2 linked regions of the Rattus norvegicus genome follow. The protein of the gene in region 1 purifies or fractionates together with the protein of each later gene. This does not show direct contact. Links are inferred from orthologs where the notes say so. Each region holds a gene or a part of one and is shown in the gene's direction. Other genes may lie near its edges. The genes, in order: Birc3 and Bcl10.

Region 1 (8,956 bases):
GAATACACAAGAACCGTGAGCCTGCTTTGATGCTACTGTGATTCACTTTGGAGTTAAATTTAGTAATGTGTCTGCATTACCCAGGGGTTGGAGACAATCAGATGGCTTATTGAGGGGACTCCTTGTTTCCATTTTTGCTTAAAGGTATTTTTAGGAACCTTAGAAGGGTGGAGAGCAGTGAGGAGCTCTGGGAGATGGCTTGGTACCCAGCACCCGTGTCAGGCGCTCACAGCCGAGAACACTTTCGGTTGCTGAAGGTCCAACTGCTTGCTGCTTGCTTCTGTGAGTCCCGGGGCACTCACACACAAACCCACACAGACACAGAAATGTTCATAAGCCAAAATCGGATCTTCAAAAAAACCTCAAATGGAAAACAATGTGCACAGAGTCAGTGTGTGCTGCGCTGGGCTTATTTCTTCCTCCAGTATTAAGAATCTGACGTCCAGCAGTCCCTCACTGGGCGCTTCCACAGCTTTCCCACGAGAGGAACATCCGGACACGGCTTTGTAATTAAGTTTCATTTCACTTTTTAAAATTAAAATTAATTTTTGATCATCAAATATGAACTATACATTGTGAAGCTGATGAGCAATGTTGTCTTATTAAGTGATTCCTGACATTTATGTTTTAGGTGTGAGTACTTGATCAGAATCAAAGGCCAAGAGTTCGTTGGCCAAGTTCAAGCTGGTTACCCTCATCTACTTGAGCAGGTAGGAGGCCTCCCTTTATTGTTTAATTATTTAATTTTTTACTTTTTAAAATTATTAGTTTGCAAAATTATTTTTAAAATTTTATTTGTAAAAATCAATTGGAATAATATTTCGGTGGAAAAGGGAAAGTTGTTTTAAAACACACCCTCCTTTCTTCTCACAACCCTCAACAGAAGTGTGCAAGGTACTTCTCTTTTGAGAAAAACAGATCTGTAACTATTAGCTCTTTAAGCTATCGTCTAATCAACTAACAATAAGTTAAACTCTGAAATTAATAAATTAAATAAAAATTTAAGGAAAACAACTTCACTGTATAATTTTTTCTTAAATGATTTGAGAAGGCATTTGTTAACTGCTCCTTAGAAAAGCTAATGTGATCTTATTTCAGTGTCTGAGGTCCAGAAAACGTGTTTGCGATGGCCAGCGGGTCTGACTGGCATGGACTCTGTCCCAGCAGGTGACTAGAGAACATGAGCTTTGTGGACTCAGGGCCAGCATTGTGCCCCCAGGAAACCCAGTCTGCCTGCCCAGTGAGGACAGAGGTTCCTCACTGGGGCACACTCTCCATAGGAAGCTGTTAGTGTAGAGCCTCACTTTTCTATTCAGTGTAAATGAGGTATTGCTTCTGACTGAGAAAATGCCCTGCTGGTGACCAAGTCAGGTGGCAGTAGGTTAAATGGAGCAGGTCTGTCGCTCATTTTCAGTGCAGTGCTAGGATGCTGTGTGTATTTTAACATGTGTACTTTTTCTTGTAGCTATTATCTACGTCAGACTCCCCAGAGGATGAGACTGGAGAGGCAGCAAGTACGTGTATATAATTCCTGTGTTAAAGCGATCCGTTCTGTATTAAGGTGAAGGGGAAGCTGGGTGCAGCTGGAGTCCAGTGTTTGGAGAGCGGAAGTGGAAGGACCATGTGCTCTGTGCCCTACTGAATTATGTGAGAGCCTGTCCTAGAAATAAGAACAGTTGAAAGGTTATCATAGGAAATGAACTTTCATGTGGATTTCTAACTTCTAATTGAAAATGTGATGTATGATTAAGACATCCTGTTACTGTCTATCAAACTTCAGTGTGCAACAGATTGCAAGTGTTTAGTTCATGCTTCAGAACTCATAGATGGAATCAGCGTGTGTAAGTATGGATCTTGGGTCTCTATGCATAGTTGTTTTTAATGGTCCCGGGGATTGAACCTATGACCTGAGGATGCCAATCATAACCTCTTTCCCCAGCTCCACCCCACAGCAGCAAGCACCTACAGGTTAAACAAACTACATTCATCTTGCCTCCTGACAGTGAGCAGTTGTGGGAATGAACGTCCTGTGCCTCCTGCTGCTGGCATGCTCTTCCTGTTCGCAGAGAGGGGGCACAGAGCTCCCCTCCTTTCACTGGGCCCCTAGGCTCAGATTGTCAATGGACCTGAGAGGGCGGAACAATCATCTGAACAGGGGCCTTGACCCTACGTTTTAGTGTTCAGTGCAATACATTTTAATCATTTGTTTACTTTCATTTATATGCATTGGTGTTTTGTCTGCAAGTATGTTTGGGTGAGGTGTCAGGTCCTTGTGAGCTGCCATTAAATGCTGGGAATTAAACCTGGGTCCTCTGGAAGAGCAGTCAGTGCTCTTGACCATGGAGTCATCTCTTCAACTTCAGTGCAATAGCATTTTTATTGTGGAGTTTTGCTGTTGATGTTGTTCAAAGGAAAGAATGGAAAACAAGATAAACATGTGACTCTGCCCTCGTGAGCTAATGACATTGGGGGCCAGATGAATGCTCAGATAATAGGACAGGATCTGCAGAAGAAATCGAGGAGACAAATATCTAAGTCTGGGAGATAGAAAAGGCTTCCTGGAAGCCAGATGTAGCATCTGTCTGGGGCAGGGTCTGCAATCTCTGCACTAAGGAGGTTAAGGATCATACATTCCCAGCCAGCCCGGGTTATACAGTGAGTTCCGGGCCAGCCTGGGTAACCTACTGAGACCTTGTCTTAGAAGAACAAAACAGGACTGGCAGATGGCTCAGCCCAAGTTGTAGCCCCTGGACTCACATGATGGAAGGCGAAAACTGACTCCTGAAAGTTGTCTGCTGGCCACCTACATGCTGTGGTACACACATCCATTCTACAAACAAACAAACAAAACATAAAGCAAACTAAAAAAATGAAAGAAAAGGCTCTCTGGAGGAAACACTTGTCTTAGCAGAGAGCTCAAGAAGAAAAGGAATCAGTTAACTGACAAGAGCACCCTCTGGGCAAAGACAACAGAGGCTAAGCAACATGGAATAAGGATATTCAAAGAACAGAGCAAGGATTTTGTCTAGCCAGAAGAGGGAGCTGCAGGCAGACAGATAACCATGTGAGGCCAGCGCGATGAATCAGCAGCATTGAAGGCAGAATTTATCTGCCTCAAGAGCTGTCCATCATTTGGGGCTGGAGAGATGGCTCAGGGGTTAAGAGCACGAGTGAGTATTCTTCCAGAGGTCCTGAGTTCAATTCCCAGCAACCACATGGTGGCTCACAACCATCTGTAAAGGGCTCCTGTATTTATATAAATAAAATAAGTATCTACAAACAAACTGAAACTGAGTTTCAGTGCAGAATGCTTGTGGCCTGGGAGTAGGAAGAGGTGGGCAGAGTGCCGGGTCACAGTGTTTAAGCCCCAGTTAGATTCGAGGAGTATGACCCGGGTTTGCATTTAAGTCATTGGATTGTACTCTTGACTGAAAGGGAGTGGGCAGTACTCTGGGACACTGGGGTAGCTGGGCTGAGGGGCAACAGTGGTTTTCTTTAGAAGTGCAAAAGCACAGTAGTGAAGTTATGGATTGAGCCAAGGTGCTCACGGCAGATGGGTAGATATACGTTGTGCACAGCCAGCATTTGGGAAGCTGAGGCAAGATCCTTGTCTTTATGCCGAGACTCTGTGCCCCACAAACAAAAAGAAAGAAAATGACTCAGCCATAAATTACAGTGTGAAACCATGCCATTTGCGGGGAACTAGAGATTTCAAGGTATGTGATATATGAATATATCACAACGAAAACATTGTAGACAGCTAATAAGTGCTAACAAAAGAAACAAATATGTAGAAATTAATATTTGCTATAGAAAGCCCATTAGTTTATTGAATATAGAGAATGAAGCCCCTGATTCTGGTGGACTGATCGATCCCTGACGTTTGGTTCTCTCTCCTCCCGAGTAGCGCTAATCACAATAGTATTTTATATTCTGACTTTAATGACTGAACATATGTCATTTTAAAGTTAGCAAAGAGCATACTGTGCAGTGTATGTTTTTTGTTCTTTATGGTTTTGATATTGCTGTAACCTTCTAGTTATAAAGCCAGGCATGTTGGTTTGTGCGTAGCGCTTGGTGGCTGAGGCAGGAGAATTGGCATGAATTGAGATTAGCCCGGGTTACATAAGCTTGAGGCTGGACTGGCCTAGAAGGACAACCACAACAGAAAGGTGTGTGGGCCTGCTGATATCTGTTAAATCCCCCTTTCCGTACAGTTGTGCATCTGGGCCCTGGAGAGAATTGGGAAGATGCAGTGATGATGAACACACCTGTGGTTAAAGCAGCCTTGGACATGGGCTTCAGTAGGAGCCTGGTGAGACAGACGGTTCAGCGACAGATCCTGGCCACTGGTGAGAACTACAGGACGGTCAGTGACCTCGTGATAGGCCTACTGGATGCAGAAGATGAGATGAGAGAGGAGCAGACGGAGCAGGAGGCCGAGGAGGAGGAGTCAGGTACAGATTTACATGGCCTTTCTCCCGAGAGATGTGCTGTCACCTCTGCAAGTTCATAAAAGATGCCTTTCCACCCAGCCCAGCCTTTCTTATGTTTCATATTCTAGACTCATATTCTGCAAATAGATTCCTCACAATAAAGTGCATTGTGGAGGACTAGGGAGACAGTTCAGCAGGTAAGGGCGTTTCCTGCTGAACCGAACCACCATAGCTTGAGAGCCAAAACCCACTTGATGGAAGAAGGGAGAACTGACTTTACTCACACAGGTTTTCCTGGCCTCTACTGCATGCTCTGGCACGCACACACACACACACACACACACACACACACACACACACACACTATTAAAAATATACCAGAATTACTCATTAAATTAAAAAATGTATATGTTGGGCAAATGTTAACATATTTTAGATTTATTTATTTTTATTTTGTGTATATAGGCATCTTGCCTGCATGTGTCTGTGCAATGACTATGGAGGCCAGAAGAGGGCGGTGGATCCCCTGGAACTAGTGTTGCAGACAGTGGTCAGTCACCAAGTGGGTGCTGGGAATTGAACCCAGGTCCTCTGGAAGAGCAGTCACTGCTCTTAACTACTGAGTCTTCTCTCTAAGCCTGCAAACTTTTATTTTTTTAATTTAAATTCTTAGGATGAGTTGTTAGCTTTGCATATAATTACTCATGGGACTTAAAAATATGAAACAAACAAAAACCCCAAAAAACAAAAACCCCTGGTTCTTATAGCCTTTAAAAGTCCAAAACAATCATACTATCTGTGTGATTTTTTTTCTTTTTTTTTTCTTTTTTTTTTTTTTTCAGAGCTGGGGACCGAACCCAGGGCCTTGCGCTTGCTAGGCAAGCGCTCTACCACTGAGCTAAATCCCCAACCCCATGATTTTTATTTTATGCATGTGTATACAGATCTTCTCAATTAATAAGCCTTTATGTTTTCCCTTTAAAGCACAAATTTTACCCTCATGAGTATGATTTCAACATAGTAATTACCAAATCAGTTCTTAATTGTTGAACAGGTATATGTGCGTGTGTGTGTGGGGGCAGGTTGCAATGACAGGACAGAGGTCAGAGGACATCTTATTAGAGTGAGAACTTTGCTTCCACATCTTTTGGATTCCACTAAGTATCAGAGTCATGACATTAGCCTTTAACATTGCGTGATTTCTGCACTGAGCCATCTCACTGACCCAAGCACACTCTTGATATAAAAAACTTGCTATGTAGTTGAATGCTGATTTTCCTTCGTCTACCTCCCAAGGGCCGTGCTGACAGACATGGGCCACCACGCCTGGCTTAGGCTCACGTTTAAGCTCAACCTACCTGCCCACACAAGTGCCATCTTCCCTCACAACCCCAATGGAGTCCTTGGGTTCTGCTTCCCATTCCTCCAGGCAGGTTCTCCATCCTCAGTGTTTGCTACTCTGTTCTCCATTCTGTGCTCAGAGCCACCTTCCTCTGGGCGTGTGCAGCCCTGTCCTTGTTCTGATTGTTATCCACACTCTGACCTAGATAAGAGCCTGGTCTCTTTCCCGAATGTGGACCAGAGCCTCAGCAGACCAGAAAGCAGACTTTTGAGACAGAATCTTACTGTGTAGCTCAGACCGGTCTTGAGTTCATGACCTTTCTGCTTCAGCCTGCTGAGTCTGGTCTGTCTAGTGAGTTCCAGACTAGCCTGGTCTGTTAGAGCAGAATGAGACTCAAAACCCAGCAAGGCTGTCAGTGCAACTTAATCGACAGAGTGCTTGCCAGGCACGTGCCACGCCTGTGTATAACCCCGGTGTGGAGGGCCTGCCTACTATAGTCCTCACATCTTTGCAGTGGCAGCAGAAATCCAAGGACATCCTCAGCATTGCGGTGAGAAGGAAGCTACATTAAAAGACAAAACCAAACAGAAAACAAAATGCTCATGTATGACTGATTCTTTAACTGAGCACAATTTCTTCTGCCCGCAATGTGGTTCTATGTCAGTGTCCTAGTGACAAGGTCAATGATCTAAAATCTAACTGTCTCTCCTAAGATAATTTTCAGACTGCCTTTATTAGTATTCAGCATTCTATGGATATAGTAGAGAGTAGGGTGCTAAAATGGAGATCAATCATTTGTAGAGTGCCTGCCTAGCAGCCACAAAGCCCTGGGTTTACTCCCTAGCGCCCCCTAAGGTGGGCTGGAGCCATCTGTCTAGAAAGCTGGCACTCTGAGGGTAGCAGCAGAAAAATCAGAAGTTTAATGTCACAGTGAATTGGTGGCCAAGCTGAGTTACATGAGATCTTCAGACAAATACACATGATCTCCTTCATGCGTGATGCAGGTATGGAAGGCAGTTGTGAGCAGACTTTGAGCGTGTTTCTCTCTCTCTTCATAAAGATGATCTAACATTAATCCGGAAGAACAAAATGGTGCTTCTTCAACATTTGACGCCTGTGACACCAATCCTGGATTGCCTCCTAAGTGCCAGGGTCATTACCGAACAGGAGTACGATGCCGTAAAACAGAAACCACACACCTTGCAGGCAAGGACACTGATCGATACTGTATTAGCGAAAGGAAACACCGCAGCGACCTCATTCAGAAACTCCCTGCAGGAAATCGACCCTGGGTTGTACAGAGATATATTTGGTGAGTGCTAGGAAATTATTTGGGGGAACTTTCTAGGTCAATTGCAAACAGGCTCTTATTAATAATTGGAGATTCTTGAAAAGGAGTCAGTCCAATGTATATATTGGAATTACACAAGATTAAGGGCTTTTGTTGAGTTTTTGCTCCAAGTGTAAAGTGTTTGAAATCTGCTGTGTGTGGTAGTGTGTGTTCAGGTGAGCTGGTGAGATCACTCAGCAGGTAAAAGTGCTTGTCCTGTAAGCTATGACCTGAGTTTGATCCCAGAACTGCCCACTTGCCCCATGTGCACTCGCGCTCGCTCTTTCTCTCTCTCTCTCTCTCTCTCTCTCTCTCTCTCTCTCTCTCTCTCTCACACACACACACACACACACACACACAAATAAGTAAATAAACAAATAAATAAATATACCTGCAATCATAGCATCCAGGAGGCCAAAGCAGGAGGATAGTGATTTTGATGCCAGCTTGGGTTACAAAATAATTCTGTGTCTCAAATAAACATCAATACTAGATAAATAGAATCTGTAGAATGTAAATAGCAACTCTGATTCCATACTGACGCTTATCCCCTTTCCTTCCCTAGTGCGACAGAACATTAGGAGTCTTCCCACAGATGACATTGCAGGTAATGGCGCTAAGACTTTAAATCTGCAGAAATCAATGTTTTCATTTTCTCTGGATTTCACTAGAGGACAAGCAGATTGCTTAAGGATTGCTTAAAAAATCCTTTTCTTGCCCCAACTAGGATGGCTTGGTGGTAGAGTGCTTATTTAACCTCAGCAAAGTACTGGGTTCAATCCCAGCAGTGCACAAACAAACAAAAAATCCTTTTCTCTTCCCTTACATGGCATCATATGCTGTGTGACCAGCATTTGGAAACTGGAGGTGGGAGGATCAGAGTTTGAAGTCAGGCTATGTTTAAAACAAAATAATATCTCCCTCTTCACAGCTCTACCGATGGAAGAACAGTTGCGGAAACTCCAGGAAGAGAGAACGTGTAAAGTGTGTATGGACCGAGAGGTGTCCCTCGTTTTCATTCCCTGTGGCCATCTGGTCGTGTGCAAAGAATGTGCCCCCTCTCTGAGGAAGTGTCCCATCTGCAGAGGGACTATCAAGGGCACAGTGCGCACATTTCTCTCCTGAACAGGACTGGACTGATGGTCCACGGTTGTGACCCCAGCCAGGAGGAGCAGAAGTTCAATGTCACTCCCAGCTCCATAAGGAACTTGAGGCCGGCCTGGATGACATGAGACACTGCCTCTAAATAGTGTAAAAATGAAAAACATGGGGAAAAAAAACCTTTTGTCTAAACTCAAAGAATGGATTACTTACATAATAATTTTAATTGGTTTCCTTAAAAGTGCTATTTATTCCCAACTCAGAGAACTGTTTTCAGTAAAGTATTTTCATACTATCTGCATCTAAAGCATGTCTGTTTGTATATTCAGATGCCATGAGAGAGGGTTTCATTCTTATTCCCGAAACGCAGGTATTACCTGGAGTCCTGAAATTCTCAGAGAAGATTTACAATGTTGGCATTTATGATTCAGAAACTAGAATCTTCTCAAGTTGCTTTAAGAACTGGGAGCACAGATTTCCATGTGTTTTATGTATAGAAATTCCCGTTATTTATTGGATGACATTTTAGGGATATGGAACTTTTATAAAGAATTCGTGAGGAAAAATTAATAAAGCAATAAAATTAAACTTTTTTAAAATGATACTGATCAGGTTAATCACACCCAGATTCCTACAATATCTTTTTAGGAATTCTTAAATGTTGGGGCTAAGGAGATGGTGAATCAGGAATGTGCTTGGCACAAAGTCATGAGGATCTGAGTTTGAATCTCCAGTGACACCATAAAA
Region 2 (10,399 bases), on another chromosome or scaffold:
GCAACAACACATGATAACTTTTCTGGATATGTTCTTCCTAGTTTCTACCTAGACAACAGACCTGAATACATTAAACATGTCTGCCTTGCTCCAGGGTCTGCCCAAGTATCCTCTCTTAATAATTGTGTCCCGACAGTCAGCTACTGCTAGTGATTAAGAACAGTAGTAGCCTTGTTATCAGACATGAGTAGGAACCTGATTCTGCTACCTGCTAGGAGGGATGGCCTTAGGCAAATCATGTTTTCTATGCCTCGATTGTTTTCACCTATCAAGTGAAGATAATAAGCCTACCTAGGGGCACAGTTATCGGAATGAAATTATGGAAGTTCAGCCATTTTCACCATTTGGCATTCTCCTGAGCCTCCTTCCTAAGCAAGGCTTCAGAACAGGACTAGAGAGATGGCTCACAGATTAAGAGCACTGACTGCTCTTCCAGAGGTCCTGAGTTCAAATCCCAGCAACCACATGGTGGCTCACAACTACCTGTAATGGGATCGGAGGCCCTCTTCTGGTGTGTCTGAAGACAGCCACAGTCATATACATGAACAGTCATATACTCATATACGTGAAATAAATAATTCTTTTAAAAAAGAAAACAAAAGAAGTCGGACAGCATCTCCCCAAAATTCACAACCACTGGAACCTCAGAACGTGATCTGCTTTGAAAACACATTCATGCGCTGTGTCCCTTATCAATGAGGAAACATCCCGAGAAACTTGCTAGGCGATGCCATCACTATCCCAGCATCAGAGGCTATGATCTCACTGCCGTGCGCTTGCATCGGGTATCTCATGTTCCAGAGTAGGTTGTCCGTATACTTGTTAAGATGGAAATTCAGGTCCATGTTAGCGGTTAGGAAGAGGCACTTATTGCAAAGAATGGACGGGTTTGTTTGCTTGAAGCCGAGCCTTCAGAGTCTGACCCTGTGATTTAGCAGGAAAGGGGAAATGAGTTTGCTAATGGAGGGATGGGACTGCATTAGAAAGGCAGGGTTTTAGAATCGCAGGCCATGGTCATGCACAAGACTGAAGAAGGAGGATGGCTCGAATCCAGCTCAACACTTGAACAATACAGACCTTATTCCGAAGGAAAATTGCTTGACCCTTTTTGTGATGATGCTGAGTGCTTACCACGATGCCCTATGCCTGGGTGGCTGGAGACTAAAACGTCCAGCTGTTTCTCTGACTTCCACCCTTGCTTCTGCACTCTACTCTCTTCTTATATTTTTGGATGTGAGCCTAGCCTTTAATGGCTGAGCCATCTCTCCAGCCCTGCTCTCTTCTTGATGGCTACAAAACCAAGTCCACTGCCCCGGCCCCTCTCATTCAGACGCTTTCCCCTCTCTCACTGCTCCCCCCTCGGCCTGGTCTCTACCCCCTGGGGTCTAGATTAAAGAGGTAGCAGGCTAGCTTGCAGAACAGTGAAAGCCAGCCTCAAAGCATAGATTGCATCTGTCCCTCTGCTCCTCTGAAACCTCGGGTGGCTTTCCTTCTGACTCAGAGTAAACCTGTATGACTCAGAGCGAAGTCAGATTAAACTCTGCCCGTAGCACACAGAGTTCACCTCCCCCGTTGTCACCCAGCCTCTTTATTGCAGGGCTCTCAACCCAGAGCTATTTCTCACTATGTCCTCGGGCTCCTCCCTCACTTCCTGCAGGTGGGAAATGTATCCTTTGTCTCAACGGGGTCTCCATCTCCACCCTTCCGATTTCCCTGCTTTACTTTTCCTCTTAGCATTTACGAGATTCTAGCATATTAAGTACCTTACACACAGAACTTTGCAAATGTCCACCTTTTCCACCCCAAACAAACACATGCTGTAATATAAATTTCATGAGGAAACATGTTATTTTTGTTCTTCTGCTTGTTGGAGACAGGGTCCTACTATGTAGCACAGGTTGGCTCAGTAACTTACTAAATAGCCCAGAATAACCTTGAATTTAGACAATCCTACCTCAGCCTCCTAGGGGCTTACAACTATGTCCAATGTTTTTATTTTGAGACAGGATATTGCTCTCTACAGGGTTCAAACACAAAACCCATAAATCCAAGATGTGAAAAAAAATTGCAAAAAAGAAAAAAAAAACCCTCCTAATGTTTCAAGTAAGTTTACAATGTAGTCCTGCTTATAGCTGGGCCAGATGCAGGCAGCTGGTTGAACAATACATCTAGCTAGTTTGTGCCGCCACACCCTAGCTCGAGGAAAACGGTGTTTGGTTTGTCTTATTCATCAAAACCTAGAAGAAGATCTGGGTGTAGTTCAGTACTTGAACAGACACTTGCTACAGGAAAGAGCAAATGATTAAGCAAATTGGGTTATAGCAAGATGCAGGATGACTAAGGGCACAGAAAAACTCTAGTAAACTAGACATCAGTGTGAAAAAACACCTGGTATAATGTGAATACCAGGATTCCAGGGCTCTGAGCAGAGCTATGGAGATGTGGCTCTATGCCTCTTGTGGTTCTTTGATTTTAGATAGATTCCTGTTACCTTTGGTCGTCTTGTCATTTCAATCTGTGCTTGTAGATTTACCGCATTGGTCACATAATCGTTTTCTGCCCAGGACTCTATGTGGAGCTCCTTATCCACTATGTGCCGCACAAGCTACGAGTTAAAATACCATTCTGAAAATAGCCATTTGGCCTCCAAAAAGATAACTTCCCCATCACGACATACCTAGCACTTACAGTGATAAAGGCTAACAGTAAACGAGAGTGCAACTGTGCACCGAGTAGCTTCAGAGCCTTAAATATGCTCCTAGAGACCCTAGAAGCTTTTTAAATGTATCTTTATTGCATAGATTAATACGGAGAAATGTTCCTAACGAATAGAGACTTAAAAGTACCTGAACACTACCTCTGCTGCTAAATTGATGGGATTGCAGTTAATTATTAAATCTTAAACACCTTTTTCGTTTTTTTATTGTGTTTTGTTATTTTGTTTTCTGCACTCAATATCTTCTTGTTTCTGTCTCCCAAGTTCTAGGTGGCAAATGGCAGTAGGCCCCGGACCAGGCTTTCAAACATTTCAATACTGGTTATATTATGTTATATATTATACATTTGTGTATGATCAAGCAATTGTAAAACCTGGCCCAGCACAACAGGAAATTGTTCCGCAACAGAGGGAGAAGCAAACCAAAATGCCCTGGCCTACTCAGCCCACACTCTACCCAAAAGAGGAGTCTGCGAGGGCGGGGAGATCCCGCTACACTGAGCGGCCAACGCCCCGCCCACGGAAACGAATCCTTCTCTTGGGGCCAATCCGCAATCCTAGTAAATAACAAGCGGGCGTAGTTAGAGGCAAGGCTGCTGTGGGCGGAGCCACTTCGGAAGAAGGGACGAAACCTAGGGCTAGTAATGATTGGCTGGCACGGAAGTGGGCGGGGCCTGCAGGTAGACCCGCCTCGCCGAAGGGTGGTGCCTAAGTTAGGATGGACTCTGAGTGCGGCGCCGCAGGCCCCGGAGGCGGAGCCGGAAGTGGGGCGTTGAGGTCTCCTCCTCCGCGTTCCGTGAACCGGCGGTTCCCCCGCTTCTGTTCCTAGTCCTCCCAAGTCACAGCCCGATTCCCGGAGGCCCGAGCCCTTAGCCAGGGCGGGGTGGCGCGGGCCGAAAGGACGCCATCCCGGCCTCGGCCATGGAGGCTCCCGCGCCGTCTCTCACGGAGGAGGACTTAACTGAAGTGAAGAAGGACGTGAGTAGCTCCGCCGGGCTGGACGCAGCGGGGCGGGCGGGGGCGGAGGAAAGCGGAAACCCAGAGCCGAGCGACGGGGAACCTCAGGTCGGAAGAGCGCCAGGTCCCGGCACAGCACGACCCGCCTGCTTCCCCGGAGCTGGCTTCAAATGATCCACCAGAGACCTGGGAGTCCACGGTTAAACCTGTCAACGCCGGCTTGGGTTTATCTTTGCTATCGGCTTCTCGCTGGTGGCTTTCCATCCTGTTGATCCCCGACTCCATCCCATCCCCGAGGGAGCTGCTAGGCTAGGGAGCGGTCCGAATCTGTCCACAGCGGGCTCTGGACCAGGTATGCCCCAGGCATAGAGCAGATAGGTGAAACTCTATACGGGGGGCTGCGGAAAGCTCGCCCTTTGAAAGGACGCCCTGGAATTCCCCTAGTAATCAGACGCCCACATATTTAAATGAAGGGGATGTGCTTACTTCTCGCTGAGACTTGACTCTCTCAGGTAAACGTTGAAAATAGTCATAGCTAAATTGGACTCTCCTGCTTAGACCACGTAGAACTTCGCATACACATTAATATTTGAGAATATGGCTTTAAACACAACGTGCTTCGTTTTTCATTCCCTTTAATTACTTATTTTGCCAGGAAAAAAAATCAAATGAGTACCATTTACATGATATATATGGATTCACTTTAAAAACAGTAATTTGTTCGTACCTAGCACCGCAGTGCTGGTGAAAAGTCGTCTTTTCGAACTTGACTGCAAGTTGTTGCAGATGTCCGCGTGCTTCTGATCTCTTTTTCTACTATACCTTACCCCTTGTAAAGGTTTATTGCACTGTACCCAACCCATAATTACAGCTGGACTAGCTCAGTACCAGAAGGAAAAGGTCCAACTGGCATTACTGCCATCGTTTCCGTGTTCAGGGGAATTGGTAGGGCACTTACTGTATGGGAAACTTTACATTTCTACTTGAGACTAGGTCTTTGATAACCACTCCGGCCTTAAGATGCCAGTAAAACCGTAACCTTAAAATATGGTAGCTGCGGTCTCCGTTGTCGGACACAGTTTTGAATTTTCTCACAATCATTAAGGGAGAGAATTGCTTTTCATTTTGTAGCTGGCAAAACAAGCCAAGACCTGAGTATAGATAGAAGAGTGCTGCAGACCTTTGTTTCTGCCCATCGACGTCTATCCATTCTGACAGTTTCAGGTCAGACCTGTATCAGCTGTCCATAACCTTAGAGAAACTTTAGATACACCTTAGGATGTCTATAAAAACAGTTTTCTTAGGTAGTTACCCAGTTATTTTTTAAACTGCTTATAACAAGCTTAAAAATTTATCCGCAGTTCTTGAACTTCCTTTTTTCTCAACTCCAGGCCTTTATTTCTACCAGAACCAAGCTATAACATCATACATTTGGTTGTTGTTTTTCTGTGTAACTCTGGCTGTCCTGGAACTCATTCTGTAGACGAAGCTGGCCTCAACTTGGAGATCTTCCTTCCTCTGCCTCCCAAGTGTTGGGATTAAAGGCATAGCCACCACTGCTTGCCATGTTCTTTTATTTTCAGAACTGGAACTTTTCGTTATCCTTCCCCCAAAACTGCTTGGTGTTCCTTCTGTGTTATCTGCTTGGATAAATGGTGGGAAGTTGTTTCCATGGGGCTCTGTCTGACTCAGGGTTTGCTTTCTTTGGCTTCTGTTGCCTGTGGGTCAGCCATAGTCCAAAAATACTTAATGGGAATTTGCTACATTTATAGTGTTACAGATTGAGCACCATGATAAAATCCTGGCCAGGGGCATGAGTTGCACCTTTTCCCCAGTACTGTGTGTCACCTGCCTGTTAGTCTCTTCATAGCTAGCTGTGTGGGTTATTACATTGGTTTTGATGGAGGAGAGCTTGGGATGGGGTTGGTACTGTGAAGTTTTGCACATCCATTGAGAATCTTGGTCCATGTCCTCCCATGCTAGCTGGGAGCGAGTCTTCAGTGCTCCTCCCCTTCTTCATGTTTATTTAACATGCCCCTATTTTGGTTGAATTTGTTCCATTTTAACAAATAGAGATAACTTTATATTCTGAGTTGATAATGTAACAGTTAAACTAAGAACTAAGGGACTAGAGAGATGGCTTAGCAGTTAAGAGCACTGACTGCTCTTCCAGAGGTTCTGAGTTCGATGCTCACAACCATCTGTAATGGGATCCAATGCCCTCTTCTGGTGTGTCTGAAGACAGCCACAGTGTGCTCACATAAATAAATAAATCTCTAAAAAAAAAAAAAGCTCAATTTCTTGAATGAAGGAAAATAGCCATAAAATAATAACTTTAAAATAGTATATTAAAATTTTCATTCATCTAAAGCACTGTACTTTGAAATGCAGAGTATACAGCAGTAAACAGAACGTCCGTGCTGTTTACCTGCTTCAAACATACAGGTGGTGAAAGCTGAAAAGGATGTCTGTCATTTACACAAGCACATTTGTAAGTTCACTCGGAGCTACGAAGACAAGCACCAGGGCAGTCATTGTACATGCAATTCGATCCTCAGGTGTGCTTGATTGATTCTTAAAGGTTCTAATAGAGAACCTGGGAGAAGAGCATTTGATACAGAGAATTTGACAAGGACCTAAGTGAGGACCTCTGTACGGTCAGAATATTGCAGATGGTAACAAGGTGAAATTAGGAGGGTGGGCTCAGTAAACACTTGAAGAACTTAACTTTCTTCTCTTAGTAGAGTCATGCTAATGAATTAGTGGAGTTTTGTTTGTTCGACTTTTAAAGATCCTTCTGTTTTTTTCTGTAGACCAGGGAAATGAGGGAAAGTTGAAAAGGCCATGAAAGGATTTGAATATACTGAGAGGGGGTGATGGTAGGATCAAGGTGAAGGCCATACACGTGGATGAAACACAAGTTCAGGGTACATGTTAAGAACACAGAAAGGATGGGACTTGGAGGAAGAGTAAGAATGAAGATCAGAAGGCTGGAGAGGTGGCTCAGCGGTTAGAGCACTGCCTGCTCTTCCAGAGGTCCTGAGTTCAATCCCCAGCAACCACATGGTGGCTCACAACCATCTGTAAAGGGATCCAATGCCCTCTTCTGGTCTGAGGACAGCTACAGTGTACTTGTATGCATAAAATAAATATTTTAAAAAAAAACAACAAAAAACAAAAAAAGATCGAAGATCAGAAGAGAGCTCTGAACTAGAGATACAAGTGTTCTATTGAAGATAAGGTGTTTGGGAAGTTTTCAGGTTCTCTCCAGCTGCAGTCCCCGTCACTTGGGAGGAGACAGAAGGACCCCAACTTTGGAGCCAGCTGGGTTATATAGCAAGACCCCAGAGGGGATGAGAGGTGCAGAAAGAAGTTTCTTAGGATAAAAATCAGGACAGTGTCATATCTGTTCACAAGGAAAGTGTTTCTGGAGGAAGGAGTGATGAGCTGTGTACCTTCTCTGAGAAGCCAAAACGATGAAGGTAGGAAGGACCCTTCAATAGAGGGAGTCATTTGTGACTTGGGGGAAAGCATTGGGACACAGTGGAATGATGAGTTGGGAAATGAGATGACCGACGCAGGAATCTGGTGCCACAGCACGGGCGTGTCTACCTTATCCTGGATGTTAAATAAGGCTTTCCAGAGATGACCAGGAACCTCAAACTTAGAAGATGGAGAGGAGCTCGGGGAATGAGAAGAGGAAAGTCAGACACATAGGAACATGAAGGGCTAGTCCTCAATTGTACATGGAGCAGAAGTCCTAGGGTAGGCACTGCTGAACTGAGCTGCACAGGTAGCCAGAGCCATGCCAAGAGTCTTGCCTGCCACAGTCCAGTGGTCACTGGTCACTGAACCTCTACTGTGTACACGCTATCCCAATTAGTCTTCCTGGATGGGCTTAATTCTTTATCCTTATTTTGTCAAGGAAGATCCTGAAGGTGGTTAGGTAATTTGTACCAATTCTCACAGTATGTTAGAGATTCGGGATCAGCAGTTCATCTCATTGCAGAGCCATGCTCTTAGTCATGGCTTAGATTTTTCTTAATATGTATATTTTGACTGCATGAATATGTATATACCATGTGTATCCCTGGTATCCGCAGAGGTCAGAAGATGGTGTCAGATCCTCTGGAACTGGAGTTGTGGAATATTGTGACGCACCATGTGGGTACTTGGAAGCAAACTCATATTGTCTGCAAGAACAAGTGCTCATTACCACTGAGCTGTCTCTCTCTAGCCCAGTGCTCTCAACTATTGTGTTCAGGACTCTCCAATAAGTCATGGGAAGAACACATGTTGGTATAATTTATGAAATGGTTCAGATTTCTATTTTCTCTTGAAAATTATAAATTCTAGTACATGTATGAAGGAATTACAAAATGTTATTTTTCTGTTATCAGTCCAGGATTTAAGGACCTGAGCTAGGACAGTGGCAAGAGTGGTGGTGGGGTCGTGGTGATTGGCTTACTATAACTTACATGGTCTTACTATGACTGGCTTATGTGTGCTATTGCCTAGCAAGAGCCCCATGTTTGCAGTGTTAAAATAGACATGTGAAGTTTACTGTGTAGATAAGTAACTGTGTGTGGAAATTCAGTAAACAAAACCTGTCAGACACCTTCACTGCAGCAACTTTGCAGCCATCATTTACTAAGTAGGCTCTACTGAAATCTTCCACTGCCTTTAACTCTTCATTATAATGTGAGTCAAGTTACTTGCTGTCATCATTGCCCCAACAGGATCGTTCACTGTGTACCCTACAATTTCTTCACACTGCATATATTAATTTATTCCTCTGAGCTGTCACATGAGCAAACAGACGCAGGGGTTAATTTACCCAAGTCCCATGTCCAGTAAATAGAGGCACAGCTATGAAATGACTGGCATCAGATTAATCACCATTTATTAAGACAAACATGGACCTGATTTAAACATTACACAGTACATGCCTGAGAATTAATTACATGCTACTTCACTAATATGCATACCTTTTTTTAAAAAAAAGTTTCAATTAAGGCTAATGAAGAGTGAAGTTAAATACATAGAGACTAGGCTGAGCTGGCTTTCCCTACTGTAGGCTCTCCTCTGCTTCCCCTTTTCTTTATTGTTGTTTTAAGAACTCTCCTGTTCTCTATGTTCCTTTGTACTTCCCTTACTTCTCCCTTCCCTCCCAGAGGACTGACTCAGTGAGGAGTTCCCTTCCTTCCTTCTCCTTCCTCAAGGACTCTCCGTGAGTTGTATCGTTTTCCTAACTGACCTTAAAGCAGAGACATAGCCCTTGGAAGGACTTGGGTTTGTGTGTTTCAGATGGTTTCACACCGAGGTGATGTACTAATTAATAATAAATATGAAACAGCTGCAAATTGTGAGACTCCCCACTAAGTTGTCTTGGTCCTAATTGTGAAATTCTTTACTTGATAGTTACTACAGTGAACAGAAATTTGTTTGTAATCTTTACTCCTGAACTAGGTAACCCTCTGCAGACTTCTTGTTCCTACAGGTCCCTCCTCACAACAGCTAGGTGTTAGTTTTCAGATGTGAAGGGGAGGCAGAACAGAGCAATCTGAGGACTGTGGGACCCGCCTGTGCTGCTGGACATCTTTAGCATGCATTTTAAAGGACCTCCCAACTTTAGAACGTTGCCTCCTACCAGTTAAGATTAGTAACTACTGGGGTTGGGGATTTAGCTCAGTGGTAGAGCGCTTGCCTAGGAAGCGCAAGGCCCTGGGTTCGGTCCCCAGCTCCGAAAAAAAGAACCAAAAAAAAAAAAAAAAGATTAGTAACTACTAACCACTCACCTGTGATTTCCCTGCATGTTACAAAGTAACATTGAAGCGTATCTTCTTTTGTCTCTTAGGCTTTAGAGAATTTGCGAGTTTACCTGTGTGAGAAAATCATAGCTGAGAGACATTTTGATCATCTACGAGCAAAAAAAATTCTAAGTAGAGAAGACACAGAAGAAATTTCTTGCCGAACTTCAAGTAGAAAAAGGGCTGGGAAGTTGTTAGACTACTTACAGGAAAACCCCAAGGGACTGGACACCCTTGTGGAATCCATTCGCAGGGAGAAAACACAGAACTTCCTGATTCAGAAGATAACGGATGAGGTGCTAAAGCTTCGGAATATAAAACTGGAGCACCTCAAAGGTAAGCAGAGGGCGGGGAGGAGAGTGCAGGGAGGGGAGAGCGGAGAGCCAGGAGAGCACAGCGCTCTTCACAACTACCACCATTTGGTTTCCAAATTTAAGGCTTAGAATTATAGTCAGTTTACATTCTTACCAGATATATTATCGTGACACAAAAGTGATATAAACTCATTTGACTCTATTTGTATTCTTTTAACACTAGTGTTTATGAAAGTTTATTTCTAAAATATGCCATTAACTTAATCCACTCAAAATAAGCCCAGAAAATACCATTACATTACATTACGTTTTAAGAAGAGGACCCATGTGACCTATGCCTGTATTCCTAGACATGGGAAGCAGGAGGACTGCCACAAGTTCAAGGCCAACGTGGGTTACATTGTGAGTCCCAGGTCTGGGGAGTGAGACCCTATCTGTACCAACAACTGAAGAACAATCCATAGGAGGTGGATGTTACGTTCAGCTGTGCTCTTTATGTGTTTTCTCCCACCAGTTGGCCATAAGCAGTGACTGACACGTGTGTAAGAATCCTGTAGAAAGCACGTGAGTCTAAACCTGGAAGCAGTCAGTTGCTGGGAGAC

The links.
Region 2: the proteins of Birc3 (region 1) and Bcl10 purify together in Homo sapiens (affinity purification with western blotting; 5 studies listed by BioGRID and IntAct, with this or other methods). This does not show direct contact. The link is inferred for Rattus norvegicus from reciprocal best matches to the Homo sapiens genes BIRC3 and BCL10.

The regions. Positions count from the first base shown.
Region 1 is NC_086026.1:13,285,557-13,294,512, reverse strand, and holds the end of Birc3 (baculoviral IAP repeat-containing protein 3), read left to right. Parts: intron 1-631; coding exon 632-710; intron 711-1,465; coding exon 1,466-1,514; exon of another isoform or gene 1,515-1,647; intron 1,648-4,217; coding exon 4,218-4,457; intron 4,458-6,838; coding exon 6,839-7,090; intron 7,091-7,673; coding exon 7,674-7,715; intron 7,716-8,039; coding exon 8,040-8,233; 3' UTR 8,234-8,811; downstream 8,812-8,956. UniProt on the Homo sapiens protein: Multi-functional protein which regulates not only caspases and apoptosis, but also modulates inflammatory signaling and immunity, mitogenic kinase signaling and cell proliferation, as well as cell invasion and metastasis.
Region 2 is NC_086020.1:237,497,669-237,508,067, forward strand, and holds the start of Bcl10 (B-cell lymphoma/leukemia 10), read left to right. Parts: upstream 1-3,512; 5' UTR 3,513-3,637; coding exon 3,638-3,694; intron 3,695-9,530; coding exon 9,531-9,819; intron 9,820-10,399. UniProt on the Homo sapiens protein: Plays a key role in both adaptive and innate immune signaling by bridging CARD domain-containing proteins to immune activation.